Callithrix jacchus: one gene and its partners. The protein of the gene in region 1 binds, or shares a complex with, the protein of each later gene. Links are inferred from orthologs where the notes say so. Each region holds a gene or a part of one and is shown in the gene's direction. Other genes may lie near its edges. The genes, in order: PRPF4, LSM8, SNRNP200, LSM2, LSM3, LSM6 and LSM7.

Region 1 (4,149 bases):
CTCTCCACTAGGAAGAAGTATAGAGTAACAGTTAATAGTGTGGCTGTAGAGGTTAATCCCACTACACCACTGATCTTGAATAATTAGTTTCATCTCTCACTAGACCTTAGTTTCCTCATCTGTATCTGACTCTGCTATTGTTGGTGAATAATATAATGCAGAGTAAAGAGTAAGCTCTTGGAACATAACTTGGCATTTTAAAAATGTGCAATAAATAAAATCTATTATTACTGTAATTTTTCTAGGGGGTTGGATGGGGATCTGGCCAGCTAGGGAAACCTCAATGTTTTGAGAATCATCCACCTCCCACGTGGAGATAAAAGCCTTATCCTGGCCGGGTGTGGTGGCTCGCTCCTGTAATCCCAGCACTTTGGGAGGCCGAGACGGGTGGATCGCGAGGTCAGGAGTTTAAGATCACTCTGGCCAAGATGGTGAAACTCCGTCTCTACTAAAAATACAAAAATTAGCCGGGCGCGGTGGCCGGTGGCGGTAATCCCACCTAATCGGGAGGCTGAGGCAGGAGAATCGCTTGACCCGGGGTCGGGGTGGACCGAAGGTTGCAGTGAGCCGAGATCGCGCCACTGCGCTCCCAGACTGAGCGACAGTAAGACTCCGTCTCAAAAGAAAAAAAAAAACTTACCTTGTTTGTCTCTAATTCCCCAGCATCCAGCAGGGCACAGGGACGTACAGAGCTATCTGACACCTTCCTATCCATCATCTTACTCTCAATCTGATACAACGACCGGCTCTAGACAAATCAACAAAGTCAGGCCGAAGCTCTTCCGCCGGGTCTTTATTTGACTTTGGCACTAGGGAGCTCTTCTAGCAGCCTAAATCCACCGCGGAGCCATCAAGCTCAGAGGGGGCCCCTAAGAAGACTTCCGGATTGTGGAGAAAAACAGCCCTTGTCCCCTAGCTCCAAGCCTGTACCTCGGATCCCTGGCGAGGATTTCCATGGTAACAAGGTCTTCAGCTCCAGGAAGACTTAAACGCTCCGGTAGGCCCGGGTGGCACGGCGGACCCCGGAAGTCCTCGACTCGCTCCAGAGTTCAGCCCCGAGCCGCGCGACGCAACGCACCTACCTCTTTTCAAGCCTGTTCAGCCCCTTCCCGGAACCTCCGCTCCCCCAGTGAAACTATTGGTAAGCCAACTGGACTACACTTCCCAGACTACTTGGAGCCTCTCTCTCAGCAGAATCTCGTCTTGCGCGAGCTTTCTCCGATGTTCTAGGAGGCATGCCCCTCAATACGATCACACCGCTTCCTACTACGACTTCCATCATGCTCCGCGCCGCTCCGGGCGCGGCTACGGCTCTCGGCACACGTCCGGTCGGTGACGCACTTCCGATCGGTGATGCTCATCCGCTCTGCTGGGCGCGCGGTGGACGATCTGAATCGGAGACCTCAGGTTTCGCTGTAGCTTTTCTCCAGAGCCCGGCATGGCTTCCTCGCGAGCTTCCTCCACGGTACAGAGCCCGGGATCTCAGCTCACTCTGGCAGGAAGCGCGAAGGGGGAAGGGGGTCCTTGCGGGAAGGGGCCGTTAGGGAACGGGAGAAGGCGGTGGAGGGCCGAGGAGGAAGGCTGTGGGACTCCGTGTCCTAGACAGCCGAGCACCGTTTTCCTGATCCCTAAGCGCTTTCGTGGACTATAGCTTATTTGCACCTCTCCGACTACATCCCTGAAGGGCAAACATCTCTTCGGACTGATCCAGTAACGGTGCTCTGAAATAGGGAAGTGTCTTGGCCAAGATTGATGCCTTTGGCAGATCTCAGAACTTTAATGAGACCTACTAACTCCTACTGCCTCAGGTCTAGAAACGTTTGAAATATATACGCTAGTAATCTTGTAACTTGTTCTTCTTTAGCACCGCGTTAGTTATTTCATCTATATTTGGTACTTCCCCAGTGATGAGCAGTAACCCTGGAAGCATCGTAAAACACGAGATTGCACACTTCCAACAGAATGAAGTAAACAGATTGCAGAGCAAACCCTTGATAGAAAAATACCCGAGAGAACCTCACTAGTTTTATCAATCCTGTCAACCAAAGTGAGGGACTGAAACACCCTCCCCCTACCCTCATCTCCTCAAATCAATGAAGAACATCTTAAGCAGTGTCCAATTTGTCCTTTCAATTACAGAGGAAGTAGGACTGTGAAACTCAGGGTGAGCTTCATCCTCTGGGGAAGTCCAGCAAATTGTTAAGATTAAGCGTTAGTTTAAGTCAGATTTTTGATTTAGCAGGCAACCAAAACTAAAGCACCTGATGACTTAGTTGCTCCGGTTGTGAAGAAGCCACATATCTATTATGGAAGTTTGGAAGAGAAGGAGAGGGAGCGTCTGGCCAAAGGAGAATCTGGGATTTTGGGGAAAGAAGGACTTAAAGCAGGAATCGAAGCTGGAAATATTAATATAACCTCTGGTAAGATGCAAGTTGTGAGTTCATCTTTACCTCTTGATGTAATGAATACCTTCCTAAACTTAAATATCACCAGTTTTATAATGTAAAAAAATTTCAATTCTTTTTTTTTTTTTTTGAGCTAGAGTCTCGCCCTGTCACCCAGGCTGGAGTAGTGTCGCGATCTCGGCTCGCTGCAACCTCCGTCTCCCTGCAACCTCCGTCTCCCTGATTCAAGCAGTTCTCCTGCCTCAGCCTCCTGAGTAGCTGGGATTACAGGAATGCACGACCACACCCAGCTAATTTTTGTATTTTGAGTAGAGATGGGGTTTCACCATATTGCCCAGTCTGGTCTCCAACTTCTGACCTCATGATCCACCCACCTCGGCCTCCCAAAGTGCTGGTATTAGAGATGTGAGCAATCACACCTGGCTGAGATCTCTTTTTTTGTTATAAAAGTAATCGTGGCCAAGCCCAGTGGCTCACACCTGTAATTCCAGCACTTTGGGAGGCTGAGACGTGGGAGGATGGCTTGAGCCCAGGAATTCAACACCAGCTTGGGCAAATAGTGATACCCCATCTCTACAAAAAGTAGAAAATTAGCCAGGCATGACACATGCGTGTGTTCCCGGCCAATTGGGGTTCTGAAGTGGGAGGTTGAGACTGCAGTGAGCCATGATTGTGCCACTGCACTCCAGCCTGGATAACACAGCAAGACCCTATCTCAAAAAAAAAAGTAATTGTTATTTTTCTTTTAATAGGTGAAACAACATATGAGTGTGTGAAGTAGAAAATCCTGTATATTTTAATTAATTGGTTGTATATCTCTCTGAGAATTTTAATACAGATATAAAAATAGGTAATTTTTTCTCTAAATGAAGACATGATATATATAAATTGTTGAATAACCTGCATTTTTCATTTTATATACCATTGAGGATATCTTTCCATGTCAGTAATGTGAGGTCCACTATATATTTTAAATACAATGATGCCTATTTGTCATAAGAAATCCAGACAATACCAAAGTGCATAAAGTGAAGACTCCTGTGCAGTAGGGCATCAATCAAGTTTCTCAGTGATCCTCTTACACATTTTCTTTTCTAAACACATGCACTATAGCCTAATGACTTTTTAAACTCTTTTTTTTTTTTTTTTTTTTTTTTTGAGATGGGGTCTTGCTCTGTCACCCAGGCTGGAGTTCAGTGACACAATCTCGGCTCACTGCAACCTCCGTCTCCCTGATTCAAGCAATTCCCCTGTCTCAGCCTCCCCAGTAGCTAGGACTACAGGCACGTGCCACCATGCCCAGCTAACTTTTTGTATTTTTAGTAGAGACAAGGTTTCACCATGTTAGCCAGGATGATCTCTGTCTCCAGACCTCATGATCTGCCCACCTTAGCCTCCCAAAGTGCTGGGATTACAGGCATGAGTCACCGCGCCTGGCCAACTTTTTTAACTTTTTATGTTGTTTTTAAACAGAACATCACCACTGTACCTCTCATTTTTTATCACACTTGTATTTTGGTGTGGGTTTCAAAACTATTGCTAGATTATCCAGAAATCCTTATTGTTGTGAAACTCATTTACAGTGTAATTATTTCCAGTTTACTAGTTAATTATTTGTTAAGTATTCCTATACTGGGACTGCTTTAGAGAATAAATATTTTTGGCCACTGTTACAATAATGTTTCTGTTACATCTTCTGGATGACAGCCTATAACTCATTTGCAAAAGATGTTCTGTACTCTTA
Region 2 (3,500 bases), on another chromosome or scaffold:
GGCGCCGGCAAAACTGCTGCGCCGGCCACAAGAGTCACGCTGGCGACCCGTAGGGCTCCTTCACTGGGAATCTTCTGGTCCGTGAGTGACGAAAATTCATCTGAAAGTGTGGTGTCCTCTCATTCTCCGTGCTTTCACTGGGAGCTACAATCCTGAGCTGTTAGCGACCAGTCATCTTGGATCTTCCTGCCTTGGCGTCCCAAAAACTTGTAACGTTTTTATGTAGTGAACTTAGTGGCTATGTTGATCACTTTTACCTAATTGTTGTATATCTTCTAATAATTCAAATCATTACCTTGCCAGAGTCTGTTTTCAGATTGTATTCCCTAAGAAACACTTTCCTTGATTCAGTTATCAGGAACTGTTGCTGTTATTACATCTGACGGGAGAATGATTGTGGTAAGTCTTCCAAATTTTCATTCTCTGCTTTCCTGTACGTTTATGGGTTGCAGGTTTTATGTGAAACCTCTGATCTCTAATGCCTAGACGCCACATTACACTGGTAGTGCAGTTTTATTATTTAACTATCACTTTGCTGTCAATCCACATTTTCCTTAGTAAACCTTGTGTCTTACCTACAAGGCTTCTAGGAGCTAGAATAATAGATTCTGCCATCAGAGAGCTCCTAGTCTGCAGACATGTATTAAACCTACTTATCTCCCTCTTCCATTTTTATTTTCTTCCCCATTCAGTACTACATGAATCAGAATTTTTTGAAATTTTGCATACATTTAGGAACTTTTTTGTGATTTAGATACTATTGATACCTACCTATCAACGTTTAAGGCTTGTATGCAATCTTAATACTGTTTGCTTTTAGGTTGTATGACATGTCTTCTATAGGACACTTGATGATTGACTCTCTATATACACATATATATGTTCAATTGGCTTGTTTCTTAAAGTTGTTTCTCCCTTGCTAATTTATGTCATCTAACAAAGATAAAACATTCCTATGGCAATACTTGTATTTGGAATTTCATTTGAGGAATTTATCTCAAGATATTTGGGTGCTTGCTTATTTCTTCACTTACAATTAATACACTTAATTCTTTTGAAAGAATTTTAAGGCTACTAAACTTTCTCTGTTTTCTAACCTTACCTAGTTTCTTAAATAATTTAATCCCCTATTTTTCCATTCTGCAATTTTGTTTTTGTTCATTTTCTTTTTAAGCCTTGCGATTTTTTCCCCTCAGTGGGTCCTTAGTGACTGTTAATAGTCAAGGTTCTAGCTTTGTCATTTACTAAATTTATATCATGTGCCAGGTGCATATGTGCTACATTATTTAATGTACAGCACAACCTTGTGAAGAATAAGTACCCCTCTATTCTAGATTAGGAAACAAGCTCAGAGAAGGTGAGATACTTTCCCAGAGTCACAAGGATAGCAGGTGACAGAACTGAACTGGGATTTAAATTTGGTTTGACATCAAAGCCAAGGCAAATTGCCTGGCTTCTTTCTTAAAATTATATCTGTTAAAATCATGTTTTCTTAGGTGCCTCACATTGTATTTTTTCAAATACGGACAGTTTGACATATTTTAATCGCAACACTTCAAGAAGCCTATTGCTATTAATAGATATTTTCAATTTTTTTAATTTTGTGAAAACCTTAACTTTAAATTTTCTAATTTTTGTTAACATAGTAGATAATAAACTGGGAAATCATTTTTAATTTTAAAAAAGGAAAGCAATATAAAAAGAGCATCTTAAGTTCTAAAGTTCAATAGTTCTTTTTTCTTTGACACATAGTTTATTTGATGGGATAGTTATGTGTAAAATGAAGCCAGGAGGTTATGAATGGGTGTTTATGATAACCATTTGTTAAATAGTTCAAGAAAGACTTCATATTTTCTCTTCCAAATTATAGTTTTCTTTTTATTTCATTCTCATTTTATATATTTTGGTTTTCAGAAGATAAAAGTTTAGTAGCTTGAGAGATTTAACCAATTAAAATCAATGTTAGTTGATACTTCTTCAGAAACTTGGATACCATCTGAGTTAATCTGTTGTGCTAGACCCATGTCTTTTTTTATTCAAAACTAAGCTTTCATAAAACCTTCCCTGATTATTTCCTTCAAATTCTTGTTCTAATTAGTTTAGTCACATTTGTATCTACTGGGAGAATTAAATAATAAATGTATTTGTTATGCATTAAATAATACCTGTGAGACACACAGAACTCTGGTAACTAGTAAGAACTCATTAGGTGTTACCCGTAACTACTAGTTAAATTTTTTATGTATTTATGGGACTGATTTGATTCTCTGAAAAATGGCAAATTATATTTACTTGTGTATAATAGTAGAAGGTAATGGTTTAGTGGTCTGGCTCAGGAGCTAGCCTTTCGTGGTTCATCTCCTGGCTCTGCTACTTACTGCCCATGTGACCATAAGAGACACCACTCTGTGCCTCAGTTTCTTCTTTGAAATGGGAATAATTATAGTATTAAAGGGTAGAGATGAGTTGCGACAATATGTACAATGTGTCTAGCACAATACCTAGTGCTAGTATGTAGTATACAGTGATACTGTTACATTACTGTAGTTGGTATGTATGATTCTTCCTTATTTATATAGAGTTACCTATCATTTTATTTTAAATCTCCTTTGTTTTAGTATATACCTTTGGCTGTCGGACTACATGAGCTTTTATGCTACTTACTTGGAAATACACTAGTACCTAGGTGTCCTTTGTAACTGTCATCAGCTCTGCAAATGAGTGAGATGTGTGGTGCAGATCCCTCCACCCCAGCCAAACAGCCAAGGGGTCAATTTTGTATCCTCGAATACTGTTAGTTATAAAAAAGGCATTTTATTTGACATTGTATAGGTACTTATATTGGAGTAACTAATAACTAAAATGATTGTGAGGTTGAATTTACACTTTCAGGTAAACCAGAATATTTCTCTTTTTCTCCTGGATATTTTCTTTACAGGGAACACTAAAAGGTTTTGACCAGACCATTAATTTGATTTTGGATGAAAGCCATGAACGAGTATTCAGCTCTTCACAGGGAGTAGAGCAAGTAGTACTAGGATTATACATTGTAAGAGGTGACAATGTGTAAGTAAAATATATCTGTTAAAATTATAAATGATACTCCCTTGATTTATGGAGAAGAGGTTTTACCCAGAATAGTCTACTGTATTATCTATACATAGTTAATAGAATCTTGCATTCATTTCTTTTATAAATATGGCTTTTCTTATATTTGCATAAAGTAAGGCAAATCTATACATTTTATGTCAACATTTCTTCAGGTTTCAACCAAAGCTATCTCTACAAATCAAACATTTACCTGAGATTTGCCCATTTTTCCACTAGTTAAATAAGTAGCCTGGATAGAGTCCAGAAAGGGCCCTGCCTTATATTAAATACTTCATTAAAGAGGTTTCTTAAAATGTTCTTAAAAATACCCAGAATTTTAGAGGAACATATTTCTAGAGTCCAAGGCAAAAGTTTGAAAAATGTTTATGAAATCTTTCATTTGAACAATT
Region 3 (3,500 bases), on another chromosome or scaffold:
CACGCCCAGCCCATACATGGTTGTTTAAGTCACTGGGGTTAATACCTACCGTCTAATAGAATTTCTTGAATATAACTAAATAGGAATAAGTGGGGTGCTTTGAAAACATTACGGAGTGCCTTGGAGTTCTCGGTAGATTTGGCTCCTGAAAGAGAAAATGAAGCCTGGACTATATACCAGGGCTGGAAGAAGGGATCGCACAGGGAGAGTCAGAGGAAAGCACTGGACTAGGAGCCAAGACTTCTGAATTTTAGTCCTATATCTTGGCAGGTCGTCTTGCCTCAGTTTCTCCTTCTATAAAATGAGGCGATTTCATTAGGTGATTGCTAGGCCTCTTCCTACAGTGTAGTTAATAGGATTTGAGGATTTTAAGTAGCACCGAACTGCTTTGCATTTAGCAGTTCATTCATGTAACAGTGCTCATTATTGAAGTACCTGCTTTGACTGTGACACTGTGCCAAATATGCCTACTGCAGCATATGAGTGAATAGAGTGGTGAGCGGGCTAAGTGTGGTCTCTTCATTCCTAGTCACCATCTGCTTTCCCAGGCATGCCTCTGTAGAGCTCTTCTCTCTCGTTAGTTATTTGCTGGTTTTGAGTATTGATTGTGTGTGTCAGAGAGAGGCTATGATCCATTTGATTGCCATTGTAGCAGCCTAAGGTAAGAAATAGAAAGTAGATGCATCTAATAAGTCTGTGCCAAGCAGCCATTCTATTGTGTGTCCACTGGGATAAGGCTGACCTTGGTTCCAGTAGGCTCTTGGTTTCACCCCAAAGCCATTTCTCTAACTATCGAGCTAATTTAGGGTAACTTGAAGGAGAGGTTCTGTGGTGATGCAGAATCAGCTCCAGATCATGGTTGAGTTGGGGCCATTTCCACAGGAAGGTGATGAAGATGTGTACGGGGAGGTCCGAGAGGAGGCATCTGATGATGACATGGAAGGGGACGAGGCTGTTGTACGCTGCACCCTCTCAGCTAATGTAAGTTCAATTTGCTCTTTCTTATTGCTGCAAGGCCAGGTTACTTCTGAGTGTTAGTACTTCTGCTTCATGCTTGGGTCCTATTGCATTTATTGAGCCACCTTTTGCTAGACTGACGTGTAATAAACAATGTCTAGAGTTTCTTAAGATTTCAGTTGGTTTTCTTCCTTCCCAAATATGTATGTTGATAAAATCTTGGTCTGATGTGCTTCTGAACTCAATATTCCAGAGTGTTTCCTTCTGGAAAGTCCTCAAAAGAAGGTGGGCTTGTAGGGTGGCAAGAAGAACTTGGATGCAGGGTGGTGGGAAAGTGATCGAGGCTGGCAGAGACTTAGTGAGCTAAATGCCTACTTACTTATATAGCTCGTAGCCTCAGGTGAACTGATGAGTTCCAAGAAGAAGGATTTGCACCCTCGGGATATTGATGCATTTTGGCTACAGCGGCAGCTCAGTCGTTTCTATGATGATGCCATCGTGTCACAGAAGAAGGCAGATGAAGTACTGGAGATTTTGAAGGTATGGCCAAGATAACAATAGTTGTATGTTTACTATGTCTTAGCACATGGGGACAGCGTATGAAGTGGCAGATGGCTTTGTCCTTAATGGTGGTGTTACCTTCTCTCTGCAGACGGCCAGTGATGATCGGGAGTGTGAGAACCAGCTGGTACTGCTGCTTGGTTTCAACACCTTTGATTTCATTAAAGTGCTGCGGCAGCACAGGATGATGAGTGAGTATATGATCGGCTCTTCCTGCAGAGTAGGTACATATGTGTGCATATGTGAGACAGAGATTCTTGTTTTCACAGCTTTTGTGCTTGTTTCTTTTATTTTTCTTCTTCTACCTTAAGAATGAAGGTTGATTTTTGCATTTCTTCCTCCTCACTGTTCCTTTCTTCCTTTTGTTGCGGGTAGTTTTATACTGTACCTTACTGGCCAGTGCACAAAGTGAAGCTGAAAAGGAAAGGATCATGGGAAAGATGGAAGCTGACCCAGAGCTGTCTAAGTTCCTCTACCAACTTCACGAAACAGAGAAGGAGGATCTGATCCGAGTAAGGATTGGGTTGGTTTATCTGTCTGATTTCTCAGCTAACAGTGGCTAGAAGATTGCAGCATGAAGCTAAATTCGTATTAAAAGTGGAAGTTGAAAAAGTGATTTTTCTAAATTATTTGGGGTTTATCAGTACATACACGTTAAAATCAGCATATCCTCAGTTGGTTTGGTTGTGAGAGCAGTGATCTGCTGCTGTCTTTCACCAGCACCAAGAGGACCTTTATTGTTTATTTACACAGTAAACACGTGGTGTTTACTAAATAGAGTAACAGAATACATGTGCTTGCTCAACAGAACCCACGTTTCTACCCCTCAGGGGCAGCCTCAATTCTTAATTATAGAATGTCTATTTCTGGCAACATCTTACTGTGCATTGTCCCTTTAAATGTGTTTGTTTGCTTTGATCACTCTGGTGGTCCCCAGGTAAAGCGTTGTCTTTCTGTTTGCAGACTTACTAGTCAGCACCTGTGACTCAAGTATGGCTAAGCAGGGACAGAAAAGGACAAGAATCTATGATACTGATGAATTGTTTCTGTGATTTTTATCTTTCTCCACCACAGGAGGAAAGGTCTCGGAGAGAGCGAGTGCGACAGTCTCGAATGGACACAGATCTGGAAACCATGGATCTTGACCAGGGTGGAGAGGTAGGATCCAGGGCGATTTATTTCCCAGATCTCGATGGATGGAAAACTCACTTGCTCAGCTTGCTCACCTCCTTTGCATTTTTGTCTTTCACATTCCCAGGCACTGGCTCCACGACAGGTTCTGGACTTGGAGGACCTGGTTTTTACCCAAGGGAGCCACTTTATGGCCAATAAACGCTGTCAGCTTCCTGATGGATCCTTCCGTCGCCAGCGTAAGGGCTATGAAGAAGTGCATGTGCCTGCCCTGAAGCCCAAGCCCTTTGGCTCAGAAGAAGTAAGTGCATTGCTTTCTTCAGTTCACTTCCTGGTTTGGATTTCAACCATTGACCAGAATGTAGCCTTGTCTCTTATATAGTTTATTTCAAGACTGAAAGCTGCAACAGAATTTTTCCATTCTGATTTTGAGCCTGGGGTGACAAAATTGACATCTGGTCTGACCTTTTTTTTTTTTTTTTTTTGAGATGGAGTTTCGCTCTCATTACCCAGGCTGGAGTGCAATGGTGTGATCTTGGCTCACTACAACCTCCGCCTCATGGGTTCAGGCAATTCTCCTGCCTCAGCCTACTGAGTAGCTGGGATTACAGGCACACGCCACCATGCCCAGCTCATTTTTTGTATTTTTAGTAGAGACCGGGTTTCACCATGTTGACCAGGATGGTCTCAATCTCTTGACCTTGTGATCCATCCGCCTCGGCCTCCCAAAGTGCTGGGATTACAGGCTTGAGCCACCATGCCCGGCCTTGGTCTGACCTTTAATGGAGAGTTATGCAAAGAGATTGCCTGGGAACAAAATCCTGGCAATCCCACAAAAACATCTGCTCAAG
Region 4 (4,142 bases), on another chromosome or scaffold:
AGAGACAGGTTTTCACCATTTTGGCCAGGCTGCTCTTGAACTTCTGACCTCATAATCCACCCGCCTCGGCCTCTCAAAAGTACTGGGATTACTTACAGGCGTGAGCCACCGCCTCTGGCCCTTTTTTCTTTTTTTCAACTTAATTTAAGATTCAAAACACTTATATGAAAAAATGCTCATCGTCACTGGTCATCAGAGAGATGCAAATCAAAACCACATTGAGATACCATCTCACGCCAGTTAGAATGGCGATCATTAAAAAATCTGGAGACAACAGATGCTGGAGAGGATGTGGAGAAAAAGGAACACTTTTACACTGTTGGTGGGAGTGTAAATTAGTTCAACCATTGTGGAAGACAGTGTGGCGATTCCTCAAGGATCTAGAAATAGAAATTCCATTTGACCCAGCAATCCCATTACTGGGTATATATCCAAAGGACTATAAATCGTTCTACTCTAAGGACACATGTACATGAATGTTCATTGCAGCACTGTTTACAATAGCAAAGACCTGGAATCAACCCAAATGCCCATTGATAATAGACTGGATTGGAAAAATGTGGCACATATACACCATGGAATATTATGCAGCAATCAGAAATTATGAGTTTGTGTCGTTTGAATCTGGAGAACATCATCCTCAGCAAACAGACACAAGAACAGAAAATGAAACACCGCATATTCTCACTCATAGGCGGGTGATGAAAAATGAGAACACATGGACACAGAAAGGGGAGTACTAAACACTGGGGTCTATTGGGGGGAAAAGGGTAGGGCCAGTGGGAGGGGGAGGTGGGGAGGGATAGCCTGGGGAGAAATGCCAAATGTGGATGAAGGGGAGAAGGAAAGCAAAGCACACTGCCATGTGTGTACCTACGCAACTGTCTTGCATGTTCTGCTCATGTACCTTAAAACCTAAAATCCAATAAAAAATTAAAAAAAAAAAAAGATTCAAAACTTTTACATTTTATGGTTTTAACCAATATAGAAAAGTGCATACTTCATAATCTTCACAAACTCCCCACAATTCTCGATTAGGAGTGTGTGTAAATCAGGAGGACTTGACGCTATGGACGACAGGATCCTGGAAAAGAACAGTATCCTTTGAGTTGAGGAGCTGAGTCCCGCCACCCGCCCAGCAGCCCAGGCCCGGGTCCGCGCGTGCGCAATGGGAGCCGGCCAGCCCGGGAGGAAGTCGGAATGCAGGAACCCCGCCCCTTTCCCGGCTTCCTCCTCCCTTCGGTTCTACCCAGAGTGCTCTCCCCAGCCACAAGTCGGCCGCGCTCTCCCCTTCAGTGCTTGGAGCTGTCTACGTCCTTTCACGCTGCGCCTGCGCGGCCCCGCCTCGCCCCACGCGCGGGCTCCCGCTTCGGTTTCCCCAGACCTGCTGGCGGCAGCCTGATCTTTTCCCGGTCCGGCCCGCTGCCCGCGGCGCCAAAACCATGGTGGGTACTGTGAAGTCAAAAGGTGGTGCCCTCGGGGAGCTCGGACGGTTGGGGCGGGGAGTCTGGCCTTTGTCCCCCTGGGCTGGAGTTTTAGGTCCTTAGTCTTGTGCCTCAAGTTCGTTGAGGAGATACCTGAAAGCAAATGGGAATTTTTTTTTTTTCCATGGGAGGTTAAAAAAACTCAACCCTGAGAGAGAGTCAATGGGGACAGCGGGAGACAGAAAAGTTAGACCTTAGAGCACTTAATCTGCCGGAGACCAAGCAGGCTTCCGGCGGGTGGGGGTGGGATATTTTCTGCAGTTCATTGAAAGGAGTGGGCAGGGACCCCAGGAAGGTGGCCGACTGAGAGAGCACACTTGGGCCGACGTATGCAGGGCAGAGCCTCTCTGGAACTTTAAGTGATGGGCTCAATGCAGTGTGTGGAATAATATAGGCTCCAGCCTTTCACCTCTGTCAGCCGATTATTCTTTCCTGTGAAGTTTTGAGAACTGTCAGAGATGCAGTGGGGTTCACAATACCAGTGTTTGGTAATACTGGCAAGGGACACTCCTCCCTACCATGTTCCTTCCCACATGATGGTTTTCCCCCTCTCACCCAATAGCTCTTCTATTCTTTTTTCAAGTCCCTTGTGGGCAAGGATGTGGTCGTGGAACTCAAGAATGACCTGAGGTAGGTACCTGTTCCAACAAGTCTGTTGGGGGTGGGTGTGCCCAACGCCCTGGAACCTCTTTAATTTGAGAACTATTTGAAGGCTGGGAGAGGTGGAAGATATAAGGAAGAAATAAATGGGTAGGGCTCAGTGGCTCAGTACTGTAATTCCAGCACTTTGGGAGGCTGAGGAGGGAGGATCGCTTGAGCCCAGGAGTTTGAGGCTGCAGTGAGCAATGATTACTCCATTGCACTCTAGCCCAGGCAATAGAGCAAGACCCCATCTCTAAGAAAAATTTAAAAATAAGTGCCTTGTGCCTTAAATTTACAGATAAGCTTGGGATTATGCTGTGTATTGGAAAACAATACAAAGCATTATATAGTTTAAAGAGTAAGTACTAGTAGCCAGGCTCCCTGGCTCTCGGGTTGGGCGAGGTGACTCATACCTGTAAGCCCAGCCTTTGGGAGGCCGTGATGGGTGGTCACCACGAGGTCAGGAGTTCAAGACCAGCCAGACCAAGATGGTGAAACCCTGTCTCTACTAAAAATGCAAAAATAAGCCAGGTGTGGTGTCAGGCGCCTGTGATTCCAGCTACTCAGGAGACTGAGGCAGGAGAATCGCTTGAACCTAGGTGGCAGAGATGGCGGTGAGCTGAGATTGTGCCACTGCACTCCAGCCTGGATGATAGAGTGAGACTCCATCTGGGAAAAAAAAAAAAAAGTAAATACTAGGCTGGTCATGGTGGCTCACACCTGTAACCTCAGTGCTTTGGGAGGCTGAGATAGGAAGATCACTTGAGTCCAGGAGTTTGAGACTAGCCTGGGCAACATAGTGAGACCTCTATTTCTACAAAAAATTTAAAAATTAGCCAGGTGTAGTGATGCATGTCTGTAGTCCCAGTTATTAGGGACTAATCCCAGCCTGAGGTGGGATGATCACTTGAACCCAGGAAGTCGAGGCTACAGCAAGCCATGATTATACCACTTTACTCCAGCCTGGGTGACAGAGGGAGACTGTGTCTCAAAAAAGAACAGGCCATAGGATGGGCATGGTGCACAGTGGCTTACACTTGTAATCCTAGCACTTTGGGAGGCTGAGGTGGGAGGATCACGAGGTCAAGAGATCTAGATCATTCTGGCCTATATAGTGAAACCTTGTCTCTACTAAAAATACAAAAATTAGCTGGGCGTGGTGGCCCGCACCTGTAGTCCCAGTTACTAGGGAGGCAGAAGCAGGAGAATCATTTGAACCCGGGAGGTGGAGGTTGCAGTGAGCCAAGATTGCACCACTGCACTCCAGCCTGGCGACAGAGTGAGACTCCCATCTCAAAACAAAAAAAGAACAGGCCATAAACAGCAAATGTTATTTCTACAAAATGAGAAGCACCCATTAGGAAGAATATAGACTCTCTGATAGAAGGTTCTACGGGGCTAGAAGGACAGGGAGAAGTCTCTCAAAAATACAGCATTTAGTCTAAGTCCTGAAATAAGATTAAAATAAAAGATACAAGTGGGAGGAGATTTAAAAGCAGTGCAGGCATTAGTTTTCTGTTTATCCTTTATTTTTTTTATTTTTATTTTTTTTGAGACAAGAGTCTGACTCTGTTGCCCAGGCTGGAGTGCAGTAACACTACTCTTATCGGCTCACTGCAACCTCAGCCTCCCGAGTTCAAGTGATTCTCTTGTCTCAGCCTCCCCGAGTAGGTAGGATTATAGCTGCCTGCCACAATGCCCAGTTAATTTTTGTATTTTTTGTAGAGATGAGGTTTCACCATGTTGGCCAGGCTTGTCACAAACTCCAGACCCCAAATGATCCACCCGCCTCATCACCCCTAAGTGCTGGGATTACAGGCATGAGCCACCTTGCACGGCCCAGACACTGGGTTTTAAATACTTGAGAATTTTTTTTTTTTTTTTGAGACGGAGTTTCGTTCTTGTTACCCAGGCTGGAGTGCAATGACATTATCTCGGCTCACCACAACCTCCACCTCCTGGGTTCAGGCAATTCTGCTGCCTCAGCCTCCTGAGTAGCTGGGATTATAGGCACGC
Region 5 (4,181 bases), on another chromosome or scaffold:
GGGAGGAGGGGTCACTCTAGGCAGAAGGAACATCAAAGGAAAAGACTCAAGAAATAACTTGGCATATTTGAGGAAGAGAAAGGAGGCCAATAAGGTGGGTATCTGGCAAGGAAACAAGTGGTAGGAGAAACAGGAGAGGTAGCAAGAGCCAAAACATGTAGCATCTTGCAGGCCAGGTTAAGCCAACTGGATTTTAAGCTAAGAGCAATGGGAAGCCAAGGAGAGTTTAAAATAGGAACACGGCATGATTAAAAAAAGAAAAAAAAGATTATTTGGGTTGCTGGATGGAGAACTGGGAGGCCAATAAAGAGGAAACTGCAGTCACTCAACTGAAAGGTGATGGTGGCTTGGACAGGGGCCATGGCCATGGAAATGAAGTGGACAAATTTAAGATACAGTCCGAGGCTGAACTGACTGGATTTGCTGATGGACTGATGTGTGCACATAAGAAAAAGGCAGGCTTTGCTTTATAACAAGTACTGAGACTGGAAAAACGGAGGAAAGGATAGATTTAAAGGGGAAAACCATGAGCTCCGCTTTGCCTGTGACAAACATAAGAAGCCTATCCGATATTCACGTGGGGAAGTCAGGTGGGATCCCACTGTGGAACTCCGGGTGAGACTCCGCTTAAGTGACCATTCGGGAGTCACCACACTGCATCACTCTACGTCCTGGTCCGTCTGTCTGCCTTCCTGGGACCCAAATAACTGCCTTCTCCACTTTCAGCCCTGAGCATCTGCGCTGTATCCTCTGGGCAACCCGGAGCGGAAAAACGCTACGCATGAGCTTGGGTCGGGCGAGGCTCCCGAGGAATCGCTCTGCGTGCGGAGGACAAAGGGACAGGGACAGAGCGGAGGGCCGGACGCGGCCTGCCGAGCTGCTCCCGCGGCCGCCGTCACGTCCCCGCGGCGTGGAAGACGCGCAGTAAACTGCATCCTGTCTCCACGTCTGGCCTCCCACCCCAGCCTCCCGGCCTCCTCCGCCCTGCTGCGGCGTCTCCCGCTAAGCCCGCTGGGCCTCGCTCTCACCCTCCTCCTCCTCCTCACGCCGGGCCTTGCTCTTGCCCTTGGACTTCTGGCTGCGCGGTTGGCGTCCCCGCGGCTCCCCGCCGGCCGCGCGCTTCCGAGCCATGTTGTTCTTCGGGGCAAAATCCACTTCGTGAGTGACGCACCTGGCCGCTGTGCACCAGAGCGCGGGCTCCGCCCACAGGCGGGCGCGTCTAGCCCTGTCCCTTAGTTGGAGGCCTAGCCACGCCCCCGAAGGAAGCTCCGGCGATACCCGTGGCCACCAAAAACCACAGGAAGCAGGAAGGAGAAAAACAGATTTCTCTCTACTTCCGGTGTATTATATCCTCCTGTTTCCGGAGATCCGCGTTGCTCTTGTGTTCTCGCGAGAAGCGGGAAAGAGCGCAGGGTTTGAAACATGGCGGACGACGTAGACCAGGTGAGTGTACTTTAAGGGGGTCGCTTCGAGCAGCTTCGCGTACTAGGGCTGGTTTTCCCAAACTTAGGAAAAATGGCCAGTCGTGTCTCCTCCTTCCAGGTCACCATGGTCCAATCCGCCCCGTCCTTTCCGTAACCGCCCCCTGCTCCGAATTTTGCTGCAGGCCCTGAGATCTTTTCCGGTTAGAAGCCCACCTGACTACTATTCATCACACTCTTCAATTCATTTTTTTAAATCTGTAAATTATTATCCTTGCCTGCCTCACGGAGCTGTTAGGATTCCAATAGAAAGCCTGATGATGAAGTTAGAAGTTCATATCATTACTGAGCGCAACCATTATTTATTCATTTAGCATATTTAGTGAAATTCAGCTTTGTATGGTTAGACACTATTCTAAGGGCCAGGGACACTGACATCGACATAGAAGTGATCCCTGCCATTACTTGGAGCTTATATTCGTGAGGAGAACAGATAAAAGTAAATATAAATATGTAGGAGACATAGGAACTGTGATGTGATGTGAAGGAAACAAGGAACTAGTTTGCAGAATAACAGATGGCCCTAGAAGCTTTTTCACCTTGTCTTTCTCTTCCTCAAATATCTTTGGAGATCAAGCCACAAATTCTTAAGCTTTCTACTGAAATCTCACCTCCTCAGAGAGGACTTCTCCTGCGCCAGTAGCACACGCTTTACTCTTCTTACCCTGCTTCATTTTTCTTCAGAGCGCATTATTATTTCGTATTAAATATATGCATCTGTTTTTAATGTATAACCCTTCCCACTAGAATTTAAGTGCCATAAGAGCAGGTTTTTTGTTTTGTTCTTTCTTCTGTCCTTAGGGTTTAGAACAGTGCTGGAAACACTCAACAAATATTTACTTAATGAGGCCTCTTTGAAAAGTCAATATTTAAAGCTACAGTGGGCATCGTAGACAGAGGCTTAGGTAGCAGTAGGGTTCTGTCGTGTGCATATTTTGACAGTATTTAATTATTTATTTGTATGCCTCTCCACATTACAATGAGCTCCTTGAGAGTGGAGATTGTGACTTCTATATCGTTATAATCTAACAGTTGGTTATCTGATCCTTTAACAAACACCTGTTGAACTAGGGAAGTAGGGATCAGTCGAGTCAGGGTTTTGTTTTTTCTCTCATCTGACCTTTTGAAGCTTTAGAGCCTGTTGCATTCAGTCACCTTCCTCCACTGGCCTCATGTACTTAATGAAGATCTACTTGAATAGTCTTTCTCTTAATGGCTGCAACCATTCGACCCCAAGTCATCCTAGCCCTGACCTCTAAAACCGACGTTTCCAGCAGTTCTTTAATAATACTAATAGGAACCATTTCTTTTCTTTTTCCTTTTTTTTTTTTTTGGACAGAATCTCACTCTGTCATCCAGGCTGGAGTGCAGTGGCACAATAGATCTCAGCTCACAGCAACTTCCACCTCCTCAAGCGATTCTCCTATCTCAGCCTCCCGAGTAGTTGGGACTACAGGCGCGTGCCACCATGCCTGGCTAATTTTTCTGGTTTTTTTTTTTTTTTTTTTTTTTTTTTGAGACGGAGTTTCGCTCTTGTTACCCAGGCTGGAGTGCAATGGCGCGATCTCAGCTCACCGCAACCTCCGCCTCCTGGGATCAGGCAATTCTCCTGCCTCAGCCTCCCGAGTAGCTGGGAATACAGGCACGCGCCACCATGCCTGTAAGTTTTTGTATTTTTAGTAGAGACGGGGTTTCACCATGTTGACCAGAATGGTCTCAATCTCTTGACCTCGTGATCCACCCGCCTCGGCCTCCCAAAGTGCTGGGATTACAGGCGTGAGCCACCGCTCCCGGCCAATTTTTCTGTTTTTAGTAGAGATGGGGTTTCGCCATGTTGGCCAGGCTGGTCTCAACTCCTGACCTCAGGTGATCCGCCTGTCTCAGCCTCCCAAAGTACTGGGATTCAGGCGTGAGCCACCATGCCCAGCCAGTAGGAACCGTTTATTACTATTTTCTGTTTACCTGGCACTGTTGTAAATACATTAACTACTTTAAACTTCTCAAGAACCCAGAAGGAAGGTTGTGGCCTCCTCAATTACAAATGAAGAATCAGAATTACAGATGGCATGATTTTTAATCTTAGTTCATTAGAGTCAGGTCACAGCCAGGAGTTGAACCCAGACTGCCTGACTCCAAAACCAGTGCTTTCTTTTTTCAAGACAGAGTCTCACTCTGTTGCCAAAGCTGGAGTGCAGTAGCACGATCTTGGCTCACTGCAACCTCCGACTCCTAGGCTCAAGCCATCCTCCCCCCTCAGCCTCTGAATAGCTGGGACCACAGGCATGTGCCACTGTGCCTGGCTAAGCCAGTGCTTTCAACCAGCGTTTTATACTGTCTACTAAATATATTCATCTTACTGGCCAGTTGGCAGCCTAAACTCAACCTGTGCTAAATTCATAATCTTCCCATTAACCTACACCTCTACTTAGCATTCTGACTAGTGTATGGTAGACATTGAGTGAGTGTTTTTCCAACGATTACATAATATTTGAGATAAAGCTAAAGTCCCTGAGAGCCCATACCCTGAAATTGGGTCAGGCAGTTTGATTTTGAGGGAACAAAGAATAGTCATGATTATTTTGCTGTGTAACTCCTTTTTGTGTATGTGTGTTTTAACCTACATTTATGTAGCACATATTATATGAAAGGCACTGTTCTAAGCCGTCATAGATATCACTTAAGCCTCACAACAACAGTATT
Region 6 (4,184 bases), on another chromosome or scaffold:
CCACCCCGTATGTCAAGCCGGCCCCATACCCAGCTACTCCCTTTGGAGAAGATTGCAGCTGCTCCTCAGATGAACGAGGCCTTTAAACTCCTCATGGCTCCCTACCCACCACACCAGTGTTAATCGCTCCATCAGGGGTCTGTAGGAAAGGGAAAGAAATTTGAATCAAAAACTTACTGTTTTTTGAATAATTGAAACAACCAGTAGGGAGTGTGCAATTTGATGTCTTTTGCAAAGAATGTTTTTAGGGACAGGGCTTTTTATCCTATCATGTTTGTTCTTTGCAACTAATTATTTAATTTTAATGGCACTTTTCTTAAAATTTTTATTTACATTATATTTTATATTGCAAGAACTTCAAATACAGCCCTCTTAATAAGTCTGTAACGGTTTTGTCTTTACCCAAACTGAGCTTTTGTAGAAGGATATAAGGAAGTCTCTATTCTTTACCAAATCACATCCAGTTGCTTTCTGTCCCTGATACCAAGGGTTCATTTCTTCTGCCTTTAGCCAAAAGAGGGATACAAGGGAGAAACTCTTTATCTTAGAAAAACATTCTGCATCTTAGATTTTATAACACTTAATGGAGTTAAGGATCTGTGTTGGAAGATCTTATCACTTTGTGTATAGTGTTACAAATCATAAATAAAATAAAGTATAAGTTTTCAGCTGATGAAAGTATGTGACAGGGAAAAAGGAACCAAGTCCTGGTGTGACTGTTCTCTTCTTTTTCCTCTCCAATCCTATTAATAGCAAGAGTATTGAGAATTCATGCAAAATTCCAAACCAAGTTCCCACAGGTAGCACTTAGCTAATGTCTGCACACCATTTTCAATTGGAACTAGTTTATAATGTAACACAATTAACGTCATTATAATTCGGAGTTACTTGAGTGGTTTTAATTATTTTCGTATCAATTAACATTGCCATGGAAACAGTCTCTTGCTAAAATGGCTTAAGTCTTCACACATTTAATCAATATCCAGAGGCAGATTTAAAGACTTGAGGTGTTTGTTTTATTTATTTGTTTGCTTTAAACTATTCAAGGACGTTTCTGGGTACACACGGCAGTTACTTAAAACTGTAAATTCCAGTTTTCTATGACTTCAAGTTATTTTTTACACTGCAAATAAATCCTGCCCAAAAGATCACTTCTAGCTTTCTGGATTTTTGTTTTTGTTTTGTATTGAATTGTATTTGTGTTGTATCCGGATTTCTGTTAGAGGAATTCCTTTGCACCAATTTCGCCACTGGACAAACCAACCAGGATTCTTGGATTTGAGCGCTTTGGCGCGGACCGGCCTTTTCGGCCCCAGCGGGCTGCCGTAGCAGAGAAGAACACTGATTGGCTGAGGCAGAAAAGTACCGCTGCCTCGCCGGTTTCGGTTTCGATTCGATGAAGTCCGCGGAGCCCGGGCTCTTGGGGCACCTGTAGTGAGGATTTTGGATCCCGCCGACGAGGTGAGCCGCGTGGCTGCGCGAGCCGAGCAGCCTCGGAAACGGCCTGCGGGGAGCGGGCTGGGGCTCCGGGGAGGGACTGCTGGGTGGTGGGTCCCCGCGAAATGCCGCTTCCAAGCTCTGTGTGCACGTAATGGCCGGGAGTGATCTGTTGGTGGGCGCCTGGAACCGCCGTCAGCGAGGCGTCTACACTGCGCCGAGAGGAGCGGCACCGTCCCGGCTGGCGTCGATTTGGCGTTCGAGACTGCACGAAGTTGTTCGGAGGTTATCGAAATTCCCCAAGGGAACCCCAGCGCTAATCCCAGGATTCGGCGGGAAAGCGGATCCCGAATCTAGGCCTAGGCTTTGCCTGGATTCTTCCAGGCTTCAGAGAATTGCGAAGCCTACCCTACATCGGAGTGGCTGCGCCTAACCACAGGAATTAAGGACTGGACTAACCTGAATTACCGAGTTGTCTAGTCGGGGAACCCCTTGTATGGTCTTAAGTCCTATCGCCAGAGGTTTTCTATGTGTCCGCGTTTGTGCCCCGGCGCGTGAATAGCGGGCATTTTTGTTTAAGGTGTGTAGGATTAGGATGATTGGAATTACCCCACCCTACTGCTCTTAGTAATACGTGACTGTTGTAGAAAAATTGCAAACATAGAAGACTTTAGTGAAGAAAATAATATTCGCTGAACCCTTTCACCTGCCATCTTTTTCTCCTGTATGTACCAGCGTCTACTTGGACTAGGACTGTTCATGTTTAATTACTTAACAGTGTAGTTTTCCAGTTCCATTTAAAAACTCTTCCTAAATATTATTCTAATTTTGTATCTTCTTTTGAGTGGCTGGCCCATCATTGTGGATCCCAGTGTAGGTCCCATAAATTATTCAGTCATTTCCCGACTGTGGGACATTTGGTTGTTTTTGAATTTTTGCATCATCTTAGCATCCCAGATCATATTTTGATAAACATTTCCCCCCCATCCTGTAGATTATTTCCTTGGACTAGATTCTCAGAAGTGAAATTATCAGATAGATGCTGTCATCCATAAGGTCTTTAGGCTTTCATGCACATTGCTGCAGTGTTTTCCAAAAAAGTTTTAGAGGTGGTTGGCAGTTTTACTTGCTTGAATATTGTGCAGAAATCTTGAGAGGCTTATGTCTGTAGTGTGTATCACTGGAGTTAACTGCAGTAGACTGCCTGAATGTTAGAGCAGGAAGAGACCTAAGTGGTCATCTAGCAAAGCCCCCTTATTTTGCAGATGAGGAACCTGGGGCCATGAGAGGTGAGATGAGTTATCCAAGTCACACAGCCAATTAAGTAGCAGAGCTGGGATTAGAACTGAGGTTTCCTGCCTCCCAAGTGAGTACTCTGTGCTGCATCAGGCAGCCTCTCACTGAACTGTGGCATAGTAGATATTAGAATTTAAAAATATGTTTACATCACTTGGATTATTCTCTTTTTTAAAAGTGTACTAACAGATTTTAATCATCAGAGGGATCTTTAGTACTGAAAAATTGTAAAGTGATCATTTTCATGGCCAAGGCTAGAAATCCGTTATTTAGAATGGCAACCCCTTCAAGGCTTTGACAGTTGTTTTCAGATTCTCTATATGTTAGAATAAAAAAAAAATCCCTGATAAATTATAATCTACACTCCATCATTTGGTTAGATGTAGGTGTTGGTTCTCATTTGCTATATTTGGGAGATTTCTTTAAAACTCCTCACTTTAAGGCCAAAGAACAATGTTGCTGGTTTTTAAATTTTTTTTATTTTAGGGCTTATAGCAGAGATTCTCAACTTCCATGGACTTTTTGGCCTGGACGCATTTGTTGTGGAGGGCCGTCCTGTGCATTGTAAAATGTTTAGCAGCATCCCTGGTCTGTACTCACTAGTATAGTAGTAGCACCACCTTCCTCAGTCATGAGAGTTCATGGTGTCCCCAGATATTTCCAGCTGTCCCTGAGCATGGTGGGGGAGGACAGGGGGGATTGCCCCTAGTTGAGAACCATTTGCTTATAGAAATTATCTGGAGAACTTTATAATGTAATGTATAGTGCCTTTGCCTCAGTAGATTCAGGAATTTGCATTTTAACAAGCATCTCTAGATTTGGATACAGCTGGTTCTTGAATGACAGAAACAGTTGTTTTCTCCGTCTTTGGTGCTCATTATAGAGATTACTTGATTAGTATTTGTTGAAGTACACACTTGATATTACTAGTCACTGTACCCATAGTTTGGGCTGGTGGGGGCTGGACAGGAATTTTGCTTGACACTGGCTTTGAATGTCACTTCCACAGACTTGGACAGTATGCTTAGATACCAGGGTTACCAAGTGAGTGAGATATTTTCCCTGTCCCCAAGAAGCTTAAAATTCACTGTGGGAGATCAGTCAGCAAATGGAAACATTACAAAACGGCCTGATAAGGGCCACGACTGAGAGTGGAAAGAGGTGCTTTCAGTGGACTAACTTCGCCTTTGGAAGAGAGGGAGAGAAGAGGCCCCAGCTGCTCGGGAAGGAGGGATTGTCTTCAAAAGACAGCCCGGCTCTCCACTGTGTCAGAGGGAGGAATTTAGAGAGCTGTCCTCGGTGTCTGATTGCCTCGTCAGACACTGCTATCTTAGTATCACGCTGCAATTACTTGGGTTCTAATGTTGTTTCCTTGCAATTTTTGCTTTTCAATTTTTTCCACGCTAAACTGTTAAGTACTCTAGAGTAGGTAAAAACTTACAGGTAAACAT
Region 7 (4,289 bases), on another chromosome or scaffold:
CTGGGAGGTGGAGGTTGCACTGAGCTGAGATGGCACCACTGCACTCCAGCCTGGGCGACAGAGCAAGACTCCCTCTCAAAACACACACACACACACACACACACACACACACACCTGCTTTGGAAAACCCTTTCCAGGCAAACTCCAGGAGGGAACCTTCCTTCCACCTCTGGTTCTTCCCTCCTTCCAAACGTCTGGGGAGTTGTAGGTCCCTGGCTGCAAAATGGGGGGACGTCCAGGGGGCCGAAAGAGCAGCAGGGGGTGGGGTTGTTAGAAAGCTTCTGCGGAGGGCTTCCAGGGTAAGAGAAACGGCCAGGGAGCCCACTGCAGGCTTCTGATAGCCAGGTCACAAATGCACGGACACACTCATCTGGATGTGACAGGGTCACTCCTGCTGTGTCGAGGCTGGACTGGGGACATGGGGGACAAAGGCAGCCACAGCAGGGGGAGGACGGCGGAGCTGGAGGAGTGGGGCTGAGAGAGCGCCGGTGGCAGCGACGCCTTAAGAGTGAGAACTCGGAGAGAGGAGTCAAGGTTAAGGGCCGCATTTGTAGGGCTGCGCTCCTAAAGTCAGGAGAGAGGGAAGATTTGGAAATAAGAAAATAAAAAACGCAGTTAGGGCAGTGCTATCTCGTAGACTGTCCCCACGAGAACCTGAGATGCTTTGCAGCAAACGACACACGATTAACATAACGAGGGCGTGCTGGCCCTGGGCGCTGGTCACCCTGGGCATCATCTCCAGAATCCACACCATCCTCAGCCTTCCTGCGGACGAGCAGCTGACGCTCCAAGCAGGGGATTCCCTTGTCCAAGGTCACAGACTAAAAGATGGAGCAGGGATGCAGCCCCAGAGCAGGGCTGGGCTCTTGGCCACTCCAGGGCGCTGCCAGACACTCGGGGACGCGCGGGACGCCTCTGGGTTCCCCACGGCACCCCCTAGGGTGAGGCTAGCCAGCACCCCGCCCGTTCCGCCTACGGGGAAACTGAGGCTCGGCGCGGGGTGGGCAGCCGCCTGCCCAAGGCCACAGAGCCAGAGACAGGCGACCCCGGCGGCGGCTGGAGACCCCGAAGAGGACAAGCAGAACGGAGGGATGGAGTGGGCACAAGCTTCAGACCCGGTAGGAAGTGAGGGGCGCTGCGGCGGCGCAGGGCCTCCGAGGCAGGGACGGGAGACGAGCCGGGGACAGCCCCGCAAGGTCACGGCCAGGCCCCGGCACCGCCGGCCAACGGCGCGGTGACCGCGGATCCCCGAGGCTGGAACCCCCGGAGACGACCTGGGTCGTTCCTGGGCGTAGCCCGGGGGCCGAGAGGCCCAGAAGCCGTAGCCTGCGGGGCCGTCGGAACCAACGCCGCGCTCACCTGGGCCGCGAGGAGCAGAAAGGGCGCCACAAGCCGCGCCAGCGCAGCCGCCGTCGCCGCCGCCATGTCGGCCGGTGCCCACCGCAACCGTCGACAGATGTTTCCCAGCAACGCCGCGAGACCCCGGGCCACGCATGCGCCGCGCATGCGCCTGCGAAGCCGGGAGGGGGTCAAAGGGCGCGGGGTGGCGCCTGCGCAGAGCGGCGCGGCGCGGCAAGATGGCGGTGAGCGCGCGGCGGGATCCGGAGCTGGGGGCGTGGGGCTCGGGCCGCGCTGCGCGCCTCACGCGCTCTGCTTTCCCCGCAGGATAAGGAGAAGAAGAAAAAGGAGAGCATCTTGGACTTGTCCAAGTACATCGACAAGACGATCCGGGTGAAGTTCCAGGGAGGCCGCGAAGGTGAGGAGGCTCCCGCCGTCGGCACCTCGCCTTTAAAATTCTGAAATAAACCCAGGAAGAGCGATGATGAGGACGCATGCATGCGGAGGCGCCGCTTTTATTTATTCTTTTCTTTTTTTTTTTTTCTTTTTTTGAGACCGAGTCTCGGTCTGATGCCCAGGCTGGAGTGCAATGGCGCGATCTCGGCTCACTGCGACCACCGCCTCCCGGGTTCAAGCGATTCTCCTGCCTCGGCCTCCCGATTAGCTGGGATTACAGGCGCCGGCCACCACGCCCGGCTAATTTTTGTGTTTCTAGTAGAGACGGGGGTTTCACCATGTTGGCCAGCCTGGTCTCGAACTCCTGACCTTAATTGATTCTCCCTCCTCGGCCTCCCAAAGTACCGGGATTACAGGCGTGACCCACCGCGCCTGGCCTCGCAGGCCCCTCTTTAGACTACCTTATGCGGTATTCCTACTTACACCGGGAGGTAGGAACTGGTATGCCCATTTTGCATGCAAGGAAACTGAGGCACGGGGCGGGAAACAGACGGAACCCAAAGTCACAGTGGCATAGCAGGGATTGGGATTTCAGGGTTGGCCTTCTGAGCAGTCCTGTGTGTCCAAGGGCTGCCCCAGCTCCCCACAGATCTCCCGGCTTCTGTTTCTCCCCCACCCATGTCAAGATCTCTCCCGGCACCAACAGTGTGGACACATTTGGGGCCGGATCATTCTCTGGGTTGGGGCCGTACCTGGGCACTGCAGGGTGCTGAGCAGTATCCCTGGCCTCCACCAAGTCGCGACAACCTAAACAGCCTCAGACAGGGTGGGCGCAGTGGCCCACACCTGTAATCCCAGCACTTTGAGAGGCTGATGCAAGCAGATCAGGAGCTCAGGAGTTCGAGACAAGCCTGGCCAATACGGTGAAACCCTGTCTCTACTAAAAATACAAAAATTGGCTGGGTGTGGTGGTAGGCGCCTGTAATCCCAGCATTTTGGGAGGCTGAGGCGCCAGATCACTTGAGTTCAGGAGTTTGAGACCAGCCTGGCCAACATGGCAGAGCCCCGTCTCTACTAAAAACTCAAAAATCAACCAGGCATAGTGGCACATGCCTGTAGTCCCAGCCACTGGGGAGGCTGAGGCAGGAGAATCGCTTGCGCATGAGAGGCGGAGATCATGCCACTGCACTCCAACCAGGATGATAGAACTAGACTTTGTCTCCAAAAAAAAAAAAAAAAAAAAGCAGAAAGGTCTGGTTCCTGAAGGGCTCACCTGATGCCCTCAGGCCCACCCAGGCTGTTTCCCTCCAGATTGGCTTACAGTCTGCTGGTTCCCGGGCTTCAATCACAGCTGCAGAGTTCCTTGTCTTCCTCACGTCACCTGACTGCAAGAGTGACGTCTTGTCCAGTCAGTCACATGCCCCAGGGGTGGGGATTCCGAACCTAGCTCTCCAGGGGAGAGGAACCTTGGGTGCACCCACCTGCCTCGGTGCTCACGTCTGTCCCCTTGAGAGGGGACTCTGGTCAGGCCAGTGCTGGGCACCTGAACAGATGTGTCTGGCCCCATTGTGTAGGTGATGAGTTTCTTTTTTTTTTTTTTTGAGACGGAGTTTGTGCTCTTGTCACCCAGGCTGGAGTGCAATGGCGCGATCTCGGCTCACCGCAACCTCCGCCTCCTGGGTTCAGGCAATTCTCCTGCCTCAGCCTCCCGAGTAGCTGGGATTACAGGCACGCGCCACCATGCCCAGCTAATTTTTGTATTTTTAGTAGAGACGGGGTTTCACCATGTTGACCGGGATGGTCTCGATCTCTTGACCTCGTGATCCACCCGCCTCGGCCTCCCAAAGTGCTGGGATTACAGGCGTGAGCCACCGCCCCCGGTGGTGATGAGTTTCATTTTGCAGGAGAGGAACTTGAGAGCACAGAGAGCGAGCTGGGGAGGGGGGCCCAAGCCTGGGCAGTCAGACCTTCTCTGTAGGCAAAGGCTGGTCGGCAAATACCTTCAGCTTTGCATCCCAGATGGTCTCTGAAACCAGTGAGCTATGCGGGGAGAGCGGGAGACCTGCCGTGGTCAGCGCTGGAGCGGGAGCGGCGCGTGTGGTGCTGGGCCCTGGGACTTTCACTACGGGATGGGCAGCGGGCCAGGTTGGCCTGAGGGTCATGGTTTGCAGACCCTCACCCCGCACCCCTCCCTGCACATGGCTGCCCTGGGTGTGCGCGGAGCGGCCGTGGGCCAGCTCACTAGGCCCCGCCTTTCAGGCAGACAGAATAATGCCCAGGGTGCCTGCTTCCTGGGATTGGGGGATGGTACAGTGGGCAGCACCCTAAGAGGTGTGGGTGGGTTGGTGTCTGGAGAAAGCACCTGAGAGGTGGCAGGGGTGAGAAGTAGGGTGGGGCAGCCACTGGGAAGCCCCTCAGAGAGCGCAAAAGTGCATCCTCGGCAGGAGAGGCCTGGGCCGGAGGAGCCTGCAGGGGAGGGGTGAGGCGTCCCAGGCAGGGAGGATGGGCCAATCACCAGACACTGGGGAGCAGGATCAGATGGCAGAGGTCACTGC

The links.
Region 2: PRPF4 (region 1) and LSM8 share a complex: the UniProt entries of both Homo sapiens proteins name them as parts of the precatalytic spliceosome. The link is inferred for Callithrix jacchus from reciprocal best matches to the Homo sapiens genes PRPF4 and LSM8.
Region 3: PRPF4 (region 1) and SNRNP200 share a complex: the UniProt entries of both Homo sapiens proteins name them as parts of the U4/U6-U5 tri-snRNP complex. The link is inferred for Callithrix jacchus from reciprocal best matches to the Homo sapiens genes PRPF4 and SNRNP200.
Region 4: PRPF4 (region 1) and LSM2 share a complex: the UniProt entries of both Homo sapiens proteins name them as parts of the precatalytic spliceosome. The link is inferred for Callithrix jacchus from reciprocal best matches to the Homo sapiens genes PRPF4 and LSM2.
Region 5: PRPF4 (region 1) and LSM3 share a complex: the UniProt entries of both Homo sapiens proteins name them as parts of the precatalytic spliceosome. The link is inferred for Callithrix jacchus from reciprocal best matches to the Homo sapiens genes PRPF4 and LSM3.
Region 6: PRPF4 (region 1) and LSM6 share a complex: the UniProt entries of both Homo sapiens proteins name them as parts of the precatalytic spliceosome. The link is inferred for Callithrix jacchus from reciprocal best matches to the Homo sapiens genes PRPF4 and LSM6.
Region 7: PRPF4 (region 1) and LSM7 share a complex: the UniProt entries of both Homo sapiens proteins name them as parts of the precatalytic spliceosome. The link is inferred for Callithrix jacchus from reciprocal best matches to the Homo sapiens genes PRPF4 and LSM7.

Annotation. Positions count from the first base shown.
Region 1 is NC_133502.1:161,587,893-161,592,041, forward strand, and holds the start of PRPF4 (U4/U6 small nuclear ribonucleoprotein Prp4), read left to right. Parts: upstream 1-1,349; 5' UTR 1,350-1,438; coding exon 1,439-1,465; intron 1,466-2,239; coding exon 2,240-2,420; intron 2,421-4,149. UniProt on the Homo sapiens protein: Plays a role in pre-mRNA splicing as component of the U4/U6-U5 tri-snRNP complex that is involved in spliceosome assembly, and as component of the precatalytic spliceosome (spliceosome B complex).
Region 2 is NC_133512.1:88,804,829-88,808,328, forward strand, and holds part of LSM8 (LSM8 homolog, U6 small nuclear RNA associated), read left to right. Parts: intron 1-358; coding exon 359-399; intron 400-2,938; coding exon 2,939-3,066; intron 3,067-3,500. UniProt on the Homo sapiens protein: Plays a role in pre-mRNA splicing as component of the U4/U6-U5 tri-snRNP complex that is involved in spliceosome assembly, and as component of the precatalytic spliceosome (spliceosome B complex).
Region 3 is NC_133515.1:6,142,603-6,146,102, reverse strand, and holds part of SNRNP200 (U5 small nuclear ribonucleoprotein 200 kDa helicase), read left to right. Parts: intron 1-882; coding exon 883-981; intron 982-1,344; coding exon 1,345-1,497; intron 1,498-1,609; coding exon 1,610-1,709; intron 1,710-1,893; coding exon 1,894-2,030; intron 2,031-2,592; coding exon 2,593-2,676; intron 2,677-2,776; coding exon 2,777-2,950; intron 2,951-3,500. UniProt on the Homo sapiens protein: Catalyzes the ATP-dependent unwinding of U4/U6 RNA duplices, an essential step in the assembly of a catalytically active spliceosome. Plays a role in pre-mRNA splicing as a core component of precatalytic, catalytic and postcatalytic spliceosomal complexes.
Region 4 is NC_133505.1:39,306,746-39,310,887, reverse strand, and holds the start of LSM2 (U6 snRNA-associated Sm-like protein LSm2), read left to right. Parts: upstream 1-1,342; 5' UTR 1,343-1,442; coding exon 1,443-1,445; exon of another isoform or gene 1,446-1,577; intron 1,578-2,046; coding exon 2,047-2,114; intron 2,115-4,142. UniProt on the Homo sapiens protein: Plays a role in pre-mRNA splicing as component of the U4/U6-U5 tri-snRNP complex that is involved in spliceosome assembly, and as component of the precatalytic spliceosome (spliceosome B complex).
Region 5 is NC_133516.1:71,157,568-71,161,748, forward strand, and holds the start of LSM3 (U6 snRNA-associated Sm-like protein LSm3), read left to right. Parts: upstream 1-1,381; 5' UTR 1,382-1,422; coding exon 1,423-1,443; intron 1,444-4,181. Other genes in the region: XPC (DNA repair protein complementing XP-C cells), read right to left, coding at 1,029-1,131. UniProt on the Homo sapiens protein: Plays a role in pre-mRNA splicing as component of the U4/U6-U5 tri-snRNP complex that is involved in spliceosome assembly, and as component of the precatalytic spliceosome (spliceosome B complex).
Region 6 is NC_133504.1:50,820,501-50,824,684, reverse strand, and holds the start of LSM6 (U6 snRNA-associated Sm-like protein LSm6), read left to right. Parts: upstream 1-1,384; 5' UTR 1,385-2,017; intron 2,018-4,184. UniProt on the Homo sapiens protein: Plays a role in pre-mRNA splicing as component of the U4/U6-U5 tri-snRNP complex that is involved in spliceosome assembly, and as component of the precatalytic spliceosome (spliceosome B complex).
Region 7 is NC_133523.1:2,193,180-2,197,468, reverse strand, and holds the start of LSM7 (U6 snRNA-associated Sm-like protein LSm7), read left to right. Parts: upstream 1-1,489; 5' UTR 1,490-1,493; coding exon 1,494-1,583; intron 1,584-1,665; coding exon 1,666-1,756; intron 1,757-4,289. Other genes in the region: SPPL2B (signal peptide peptidase-like 2B), read right to left, coding at 1,360-1,425. UniProt on the Homo sapiens protein: Plays a role in pre-mRNA splicing as component of the U4/U6-U5 tri-snRNP complex that is involved in spliceosome assembly, and as component of the precatalytic spliceosome (spliceosome B complex).